Linked DNA regions of Ovis aries. The protein of the gene in region 1 purifies or fractionates together with the protein of each later gene. This does not show direct contact. Links are inferred from orthologs where the notes say so. Each region holds a gene or a part of one and is shown on either strand. Other genes may lie near its edges. The genes, in order: TAF15 and HNRNPU.

Region 1 (3,204 bases):
CCACTTCTGTCTCCTCCGTAGCCACCACTGCCACTTCTGTCTCCACCATAGCCACCCCCACTTCTGTCTGCACCGTAGCCGCCTCGGTCTCCACCTCTGCCCCCACGGCCTCTGTAGCCCCTCTCTCCACCGTAGCCTCTTCCCCGGAAATCTGCAGGTAGAAATGAAAACCAATAAGGCCAGCAGAATCATGGAAAGCCTCCTTAATGCTAGCCAGAAGATCAGAAGCAGATGCCGTTAAGGCTGACCCACCTCCTCCTGAGGGACGAGAGTCCTCTGGTCTGGGCTCATTGCACTGATTACAAGAATTCCTTCGAGCAAAGTTCATATTTCCACATGACCTAAGAAAGAAAGAAAATAAAATGCTCAACAGTTTCCAATGGATTCAGAACCCCCTCCTGCACCTTGCAAATCCAATCCCAACCCCTACATCCACCAAAGTAAATAGGATACTTACGGATTAGGGCAAACCCAGTCCCCACTTTTGGGGTCTCCACCTCTCCCCTGAAAGCCTCCACGACCTCTATATCCTCCACGGCCTGGGATAAGTAAGGAGGAGGGAAGAATCAGTAGCAGATATTAACAAAGCAGAGGAAAAGCATCAGGTGAAAGAACTAAGTGTTCATCAATAACTGGGCAGCTCCCCCCAGATTAACCTCTTATGGAAGAACTCCATGATTCTTTGATTTGGGGCTTTACTTATTCAGTCAATGCAGTAAATATGGAAGAAGCTCCAAGGTGCACATTATAGTTCAAATAATGCACTAAGAAACTTCTTTCTACAGTACCCTCCTCAGTTTGAGAATCTCAGTGATAAAGATTAGGTGAGATGACATATTCCAAATTTAAGAAATTAAAACACAACAGAAATAAACAAGTTGGCACTAACTGTATCAGGGAACTCACATTGGGCCAGATTAACTACCAAATTAGGTATCAGTTAAACAACTGCCTCCTAATTTCCAACTGAAACAAACTGCATTATATAGCTTTCCAAAGGGATTTCTAGAACCTTTTTCCATCCTTTCTTAGTTATGACACTTTATTTACCTAATCTTCTATTCTGTATCTCACTTTAAGACAGAAAATCTAAACCCTCTGTGTAATACCCAAGCCTGTGAACAAGAATCTTACCTCGTCGCCCACCTCCACTTCCACCTCCTCTCATGAATTCAGGTCTTCTGGTGGCAAAGGACACCTTAATGATATTGCCGTGGAATTCTTTTCCTAAAGGAAAAAAATGAAAATAGTTTTGAAGAAATGCTACTCCACATTTCCACCTCTTAACAAAATATAAAACTGCCTCGGAAATGTTTAATTTCAGAGAAATGCCTCACATGTTCTCACAGAAATTCACACAGCAACGCTCAAGAGTCAAGGTGACTATCCTAGAACATGACACAATCTACTGCATAGGACAGATCTGCCCCTGGGAGACAGCCATTCCTTACTGAGCAAAAAAGCTCACGTCTAGCCATTTTCACCTGAAAGCCAATGAACGTAGTATGCTACCATTCCTTTTTTTAAGGGAATGAGTGTGTATGCGTGTGTGCGCACGTGCGTGCGTGCATATGCACACATATGCCTATTTACACACTGCCTATTGTTGCTTAACTCTCAGTAGGTGAAAAGCTAGAAAGGAAGCTCATTTTTTACTATATACTGTTGGTACCACGTCTGAAGTAGTATCTTAAAAAATAATGTGTGCATTTGTGATTATACACATGTACATATATACATATTCTGCTGTCCCAGGGCCTTGGAGACAAAAATTAGCCTTTTCACTCTATATATTAAACAAGAGAACAGACATATCAGAAAAAGGTGCCCAAGGAATTCATAAAATAGTTATAAATCTAGGAGCCTTAGCCCTCTCAGCAAACTCTAACTGCTATGACTGGCAACCTTCCACAGTTGTCAAATGGTATAGCAAGCTCTTTGACATAGGAAACAAACCATGGATAAATATTTTAAAAGCTCTGCAAAGACCTGGTAATTAAGATCTGAACTATGGAGTTTCTGTTAAGAGGCTCATTTGCCCTATGAGGGAAAGACAGAGAAAGTGTTCTAACATATTATAAGCTAAATAGTTGTATGAGTCACAGAAACTACTAAACAAACACATAGTGAGGGAGGATGGACCTGGCCTTTCAAGGGCGAGGGGATAAGATCTGCTTAGAGCAAAAAATCAAAATGCAACTATGCATTGGAAGACAGGTGCAATAATCTTGGAACTGCAAGAAACCACATGTGCCTCTCAATCAGGCGCAATTTACTTCTTCAGAGAGAATGCAGCCCGACTGCCTGAGTTTGAGCCCTAACTCTACACTTCTTCTGTGGTCCTGGAAATTAACTTATCTTCTCTGTGCCCGAGTTTCATCATCTGTAAGATGGTAATAAAAGCAATAAAAAAAAAAGTAACAGTTACTATGAAGATCTGAGTTAATGCACATACAGTTCTTAGAACTATGCCTAGCTCATAAACTACAGTAAACACGCAGTGTTATTCTCCTGCACTGGCAGGTGGGTTCTTCACCACTAGTGCCACCTGGGAAGCCCCATTACAAGGTACAACAAAAACAATAAATTTACAACATGGGGAAATGACTATAAGACATCAAGGAAATAAAAGCATGAGACAAAATTACTTTTGGAGTAGAATGATAAAACTATTTTAAAAATACATTTTAAAGAGCTGGAAGAAACACCAGTAGTTTTCTCTGTGTAGACTATGGAAGCTTTACTCCTTTCTTCTACTTTTTAATATTTTCTTATTTTCAGGGGAAAAAAGTCTTATTGTACTAGTCTTCTACTACATATCAACATTGCATTTGAAGGGAAATTAACCTAAATTTTAAAAGAATATAGTCAACCAGGCCAACCCTTTACATTTCTATGAGGGTGGCCTGAAGCACAAAGGATGACATTAGGAAATATTTTAGACAAAGAAACAGTTCATCTCACTTCTAAAGGTATACAAGAATTCTGGCCTGTATTCTCAATAGGATATTTAAAAAAGTAAAGAGCAAGATAATCACTGTCTACCAGAACATATTTTGACTTCTAGACCAGAAAACATTTATCAAAACCACACACTGAAAGTATATGAATGAGGTATACCATCAAACCAGTCAATGGCTGCCTTAGCTGAAGGAGGGTCATCAAACGATACTGTTGCCTCCCCTTTTGGCTTTCCTGTGTCCT
Region 2 (4,270 bases), on another chromosome or scaffold:
TCAAATCATTTCACAAATGTTAATATTTCATCTTCATCTATGACAGCACTGTAAAATACAAGATTCTTAAAAGCCATTGAAGAGAACTTAAAAAATAAAATTTATTAAACTGTACTATGGGAGAAAGTTAAGTGTGTATTTTTCTAAATTTTGAATTAAAATTGGGACAGCCTTGTGCCAGCTAAAGCACGAAGCAATATAGTTGAGCTTAGACTAGACTAGACCACTGGCTAGCCACTGTGCAGATTCTCTGGGGTTTGAGACATTCATGTCTATCACATATCTAAATTCTGGAAAACTGGAAGAACATTAACACACCTCTTAATTTAGTAAAAGGAAAAATTAAACTTCTAAGACACACCAAAATCACATTTTTCTTTGAGAGTGATATTTTTCTTTTCACAAAATCACAGCCTTTTTTTTTTTCATTAGCTTTTATTAGAGCTTTGGCATAATTTTGTCAAAAGTATATCCACAGGAATAGAATCAAAGTGTGTGACCTAGCTGGGGTCTTATCCTCATTGTTAGTTAAGGGGACTTCATAACTGCATGACCAGGTCCTAAATTGGACAGAATAAACCTTACAGGAGGTCTGTCTTCTTGGTAGATGTAAAGAAAACACAGAAATGCAATTCTGAGGCTAACTTCTTTGGCCATTAGTACCATAACAAGGCCTGTAAAGTCCGCTTTGCAGTATGGAGTGGAGGCCACTCTTCAAAAATAAGCATGATCTCCCAAACCCTGCATCAGAGGTCATGGGAGAGACAAAAGAAAGGCCCTTCCTGAGTCTAAAATTCAACTCCCAAGTTAGGATTCAGGAAAATTAAACCAATTATTAAGCAGAAGAAAATCTCCTGCGTATAATGACTGTCAGCTTGTACAAATCAAATCAAAATTTTAAGGGTTCTAAGCAAATAGCTGGAGAAACAGATAAGATAAATCTAAAATGGAAGAAGAGGTGGCGGATTCCAGCTGAAATTACCAAGTTGAAGATGAAAGCATTTGGGTAGAAGCAGCCTCCTGGCCGGAAGGCAAAGAACATAAACGAATATTGCCACCAAAGGGCTGGAAAGGCCAATAGAGGCTGCAGCGGGTCGGTTTAACTGAAGGCGGTTTCCACCTCCTCCATTAGCTGGGCCCCAATTGGAAGCGCAGTGCGCGGCGCCGCGCTCCCGGCCCGCCGCTCGGGCGGGGCGGGGTGGGGCGAGCGCGGGCGCTCTGCCGGCGCAGAGGCGGGGCGGCTATATTACGTGCGCGGTGCCGCCCCTGCGAGAGGACGTTGCGTGCTCGCTCGCGCCAGGCGAGTCTCCGCGTCTCCCTCGCGAACTCGGTGAAAGGAATTGGCGCCGTTCGACACCAGGCGGATCCGCTCTGCAGCACGAACCCACCTCCAGCCGCAGCCGCAGCCGCCGCCCGGGCCGAGGAGCAGCCGCAGCCGCCGCCAGTGGCCGAGTGAGCGGAGCCGAGTTTGAGCCAGCGCCTAGCGGTGAATCGGGGCCTCACCATGAGTTCCTCGCCTGTTAATGTGAAAAAGCTGAAGGTGTCGGAGCTGAAGGAGGAGCTCAAGAAGCGGCGCCTGTCCGACAAGGGCCTCAAGGCCGAGCTCATGGAGCGTCTCCAGGCCGCGCTGGACGACGAGGAGGCCGGGGGCCGCCCCGCCATGGAGCCCGGGAACGGCAGCCTAGACCTGGGCGGGGATTCCGCCGGGCGCTCGGGAGCAGGCCTCGAGCAGGAGGCCGCGGCCGGCGGCGACGACGACGAGGAGGAAGAGGAGGAGGAGGAGGAAGGGATCGCCGCCTTGGATGGCGACCAGATGGAGCTCGGCGAGGAGAACGGCGCCGCGGGGGCGGCCGACTCGGGCCCGATGGAGGAGGAAGAGGCCGCCTCGGAGGACGAGAACGGCGACGACCAGGGCTTCCAGGAAGGGGAGGATGAGCTCGGCGAAGAGGAGGAAGGCGCGGGCGACGAGAACGGGCACGGGGAGCAGCAGCCTCAACCGCCGGCGGCGCCGCAGCAACAACCCCAGCAGCAGCGCGGGGCCGCCAAGGAGGCCGCGGGGAAGAGCAGCGGCCCCACGTCGCTGTTCGCGGTGACGGTGGCGCCGCCCGGGGCGAGGCAGGGCCAGCAGCAGGCGGGAGGTAAGAAGAAGGCGGAAGGCGGCGGAGGCGGCGGTCGCCCCGGGGCTCCGGCGGCGGGTGAGTGCTGCGTGGTTGGTTGCGCGCGGCGGGAGGCCCGCGCGGGGTGGGGACCGTGCCCAGGCCTGCCGGAGCCCCGCAGGGGGGGAGGGAGGAAACCCGCCGCGGGAGGGAGCACCCTCGGGGGCTGGGGACTGCTGGAGGGGGGCGGGCGGGGCGCGGGGAATCCCGGGTTAGGCGTGAGGCCTCGGCTCGGTGTGTGACGGCGGTGGCGGCGCCTCCATTATGTGCCTGGAGAGCCGGGGTGGGGAGGGGGGAGGCTGCAGCTGCCGCTGGAGGGGGAGGAGCCGCGGAGGCGCCGTCGCGCTGCGTGCGCGCGGTGCGGGCACATGTCTCGGGGGGAGGGGAGGCCCGGGGCCCCGGCGGCGCGCCGTGGCGGCTCCGGGCCGCGGTATTGTGCAAGGCGCGCCGGGCTCGGGTGACGTCACTTCCGGCGGGCGGGGCGGGGTCGGGCGGCGCCCGCGGCGAGCAGTACAATGCGGCCGCGGGGAGCGCGGGCCCGGCTGGGGGGAGGGGAGGGCGAGCGGGGCGCTTCGGCCCCTCCCCCTTTCCTGAACACTCTCTGGGGTACACGTGGGCTCCGGGCCTGGGCCGCGCTAAATTTTCATGTGCTTTCTGGAATATTCGAGTGAACTGGCAAAATTAGCAATGTCCTTAGACTGCGTCACTGAATCCAAGCCGATTCCAAGGAGATTGTTGTTTGAATTCGCAGTTGAGTCGTTGATTGAAATCACAATGTACAAGTCGAGTTTTAGGGAACCTCCGACAAGAAAGGGGTTTTCTGCTTGTTGTGGCGGCGTGCCGTGGTGTCTTATACAGCGGTGTCATGTGTTGTAGGAGACGGCAAAACAGAACAGAAAGGCGGAGATAAAAAGAGAGGTGTTAAAAGACCTCGAGAAGATCATGGCCGTGGCTATTTTGAGTACATTGAAGAGAACAAGTATAGCAGGTAGAGATGCTAACCTAGTTTTGGCACCTGTTCATTATTCTTTGGGGAAGGTTGTATCAGGAGACAATTCTGTCTTTTCAGAGCCAAATCTCCTCAGCCACCTGTTGAAGAAGAAGATGAACACTTCGACGACACAGTGGTTTGTCTTGATACTTGTAAGTGAAGCTGTTTCTTCCCCGTTCCTCCCTTAGTTATCAAATATGGTTTTTGGTTACAAAATGTTAGAAAACTTAATGCGTATAAAGGGTTCTTTTAAAATTGGAAAGATGGTGGCTTTTATTCAGATTCTGGTCACTTAATTTAGTCCAGCAGTTATATTGATAGTTTTAGAGGCTCCAGCAATTTGATAATTTTTTGGTATGATATTAAAATTCTCATTTGTAGGAATGTGAAATGAATGCCAATATTTGACTGTGTAGCTAATGGAAACTTGTAAGACTACCTATAATTTCTCCCTGTAGGGTCTACAGTAAAAGTAATGTGGTTTTTTTTTTTTTTTTTGTGGAATTATGTTAAGTGAGCTACTTGGGCTAGTTAAGTATTTATTAATGACTTTCCCATTAGCACATCACTATATTCCCTATTCTGAAAGATTGTAATATTACTTTCTCAATAACTGCTCTTTTGTTCTCAATTCCAGTTCAGTAGCTGCTGCTTTAACCTAAGTTGGTTTCTTCCAAAGACCTGGGGCAGCAGCAGTGGGCTATCACTGGGCCACTAGCTTTCTTCAGCAGCGAATGGTATCAATGGCAGCGCTGTAAATACTGCTACTTTACCCAGTTGGGTTGCAATTGAGTATGAGGAAGTATTGCAAACCTCTAAATGGGCCTTGGCAGTCAGATTCCTCATTTTTCTCACATACAAAATCATTGATTTAGTATTTTGATCAGAAAGTACAATTTTGTGATAAACAGAAAAAAGGGTAGAAATAATTGCCTAGAGGTAAGGTGTCATCCTGTCCTGTAGATCTAAGGAGTTGAATCTTAGATTCTCCTGTTTTGGAATACCTATTTTATTTAGATGTGTATGGTAGTGTAAATGTAAGTCTCTTTACTACATACTGTTTACATATAGTCAATGTAGTGGAATCTTTTATTTTGAACTGTATATGGAAGAGTAGTTGAAT

The links.
Region 2: the proteins of TAF15 (region 1) and HNRNPU purify together in Homo sapiens (affinity purification with mass spectrometry; 3 studies listed by BioGRID, with this or other methods). This does not show direct contact. The link is inferred for Ovis aries from reciprocal best matches to the Homo sapiens genes TAF15 and HNRNPU.

The regions. Positions count from the first base shown.
Region 1 is NC_056064.1:14,274,324-14,277,527, forward strand, and holds part of TAF15 (TATA-binding protein-associated factor 2N), read right to left. Parts: coding exon 3,121-3,204; intron 1,228-3,120; coding exon 1,135-1,227; intron 540-1,134; coding exon 458-539; intron 342-457; coding exon 1-341. UniProt on the Homo sapiens protein: RNA and ssDNA-binding protein that may play specific roles during transcription initiation at distinct promoters. Binds to ssRNA containing the consensus sequence 5'-AGGUAA-3'. Can enter the preinitiation complex together with the RNA polymerase II (Pol II).
Region 2 is NC_056065.1:31,686,939-31,691,208, forward strand, and holds the start of HNRNPU (heterogeneous nuclear ribonucleoprotein U), read left to right. Parts: upstream 1-1,270; 5' UTR 1,271-1,504; coding exon 1,505-2,195; intron 2,196-3,032; coding exon 3,033-3,144; intron 3,145-3,225; coding exon 3,226-3,299; intron 3,300-4,270. UniProt on the Homo sapiens protein: DNA- and RNA-binding protein involved in several cellular processes such as nuclear chromatin organization, telomere-length regulation, transcription, mRNA alternative splicing and stability, Xist-mediated transcriptional silencing and mitotic cell progression.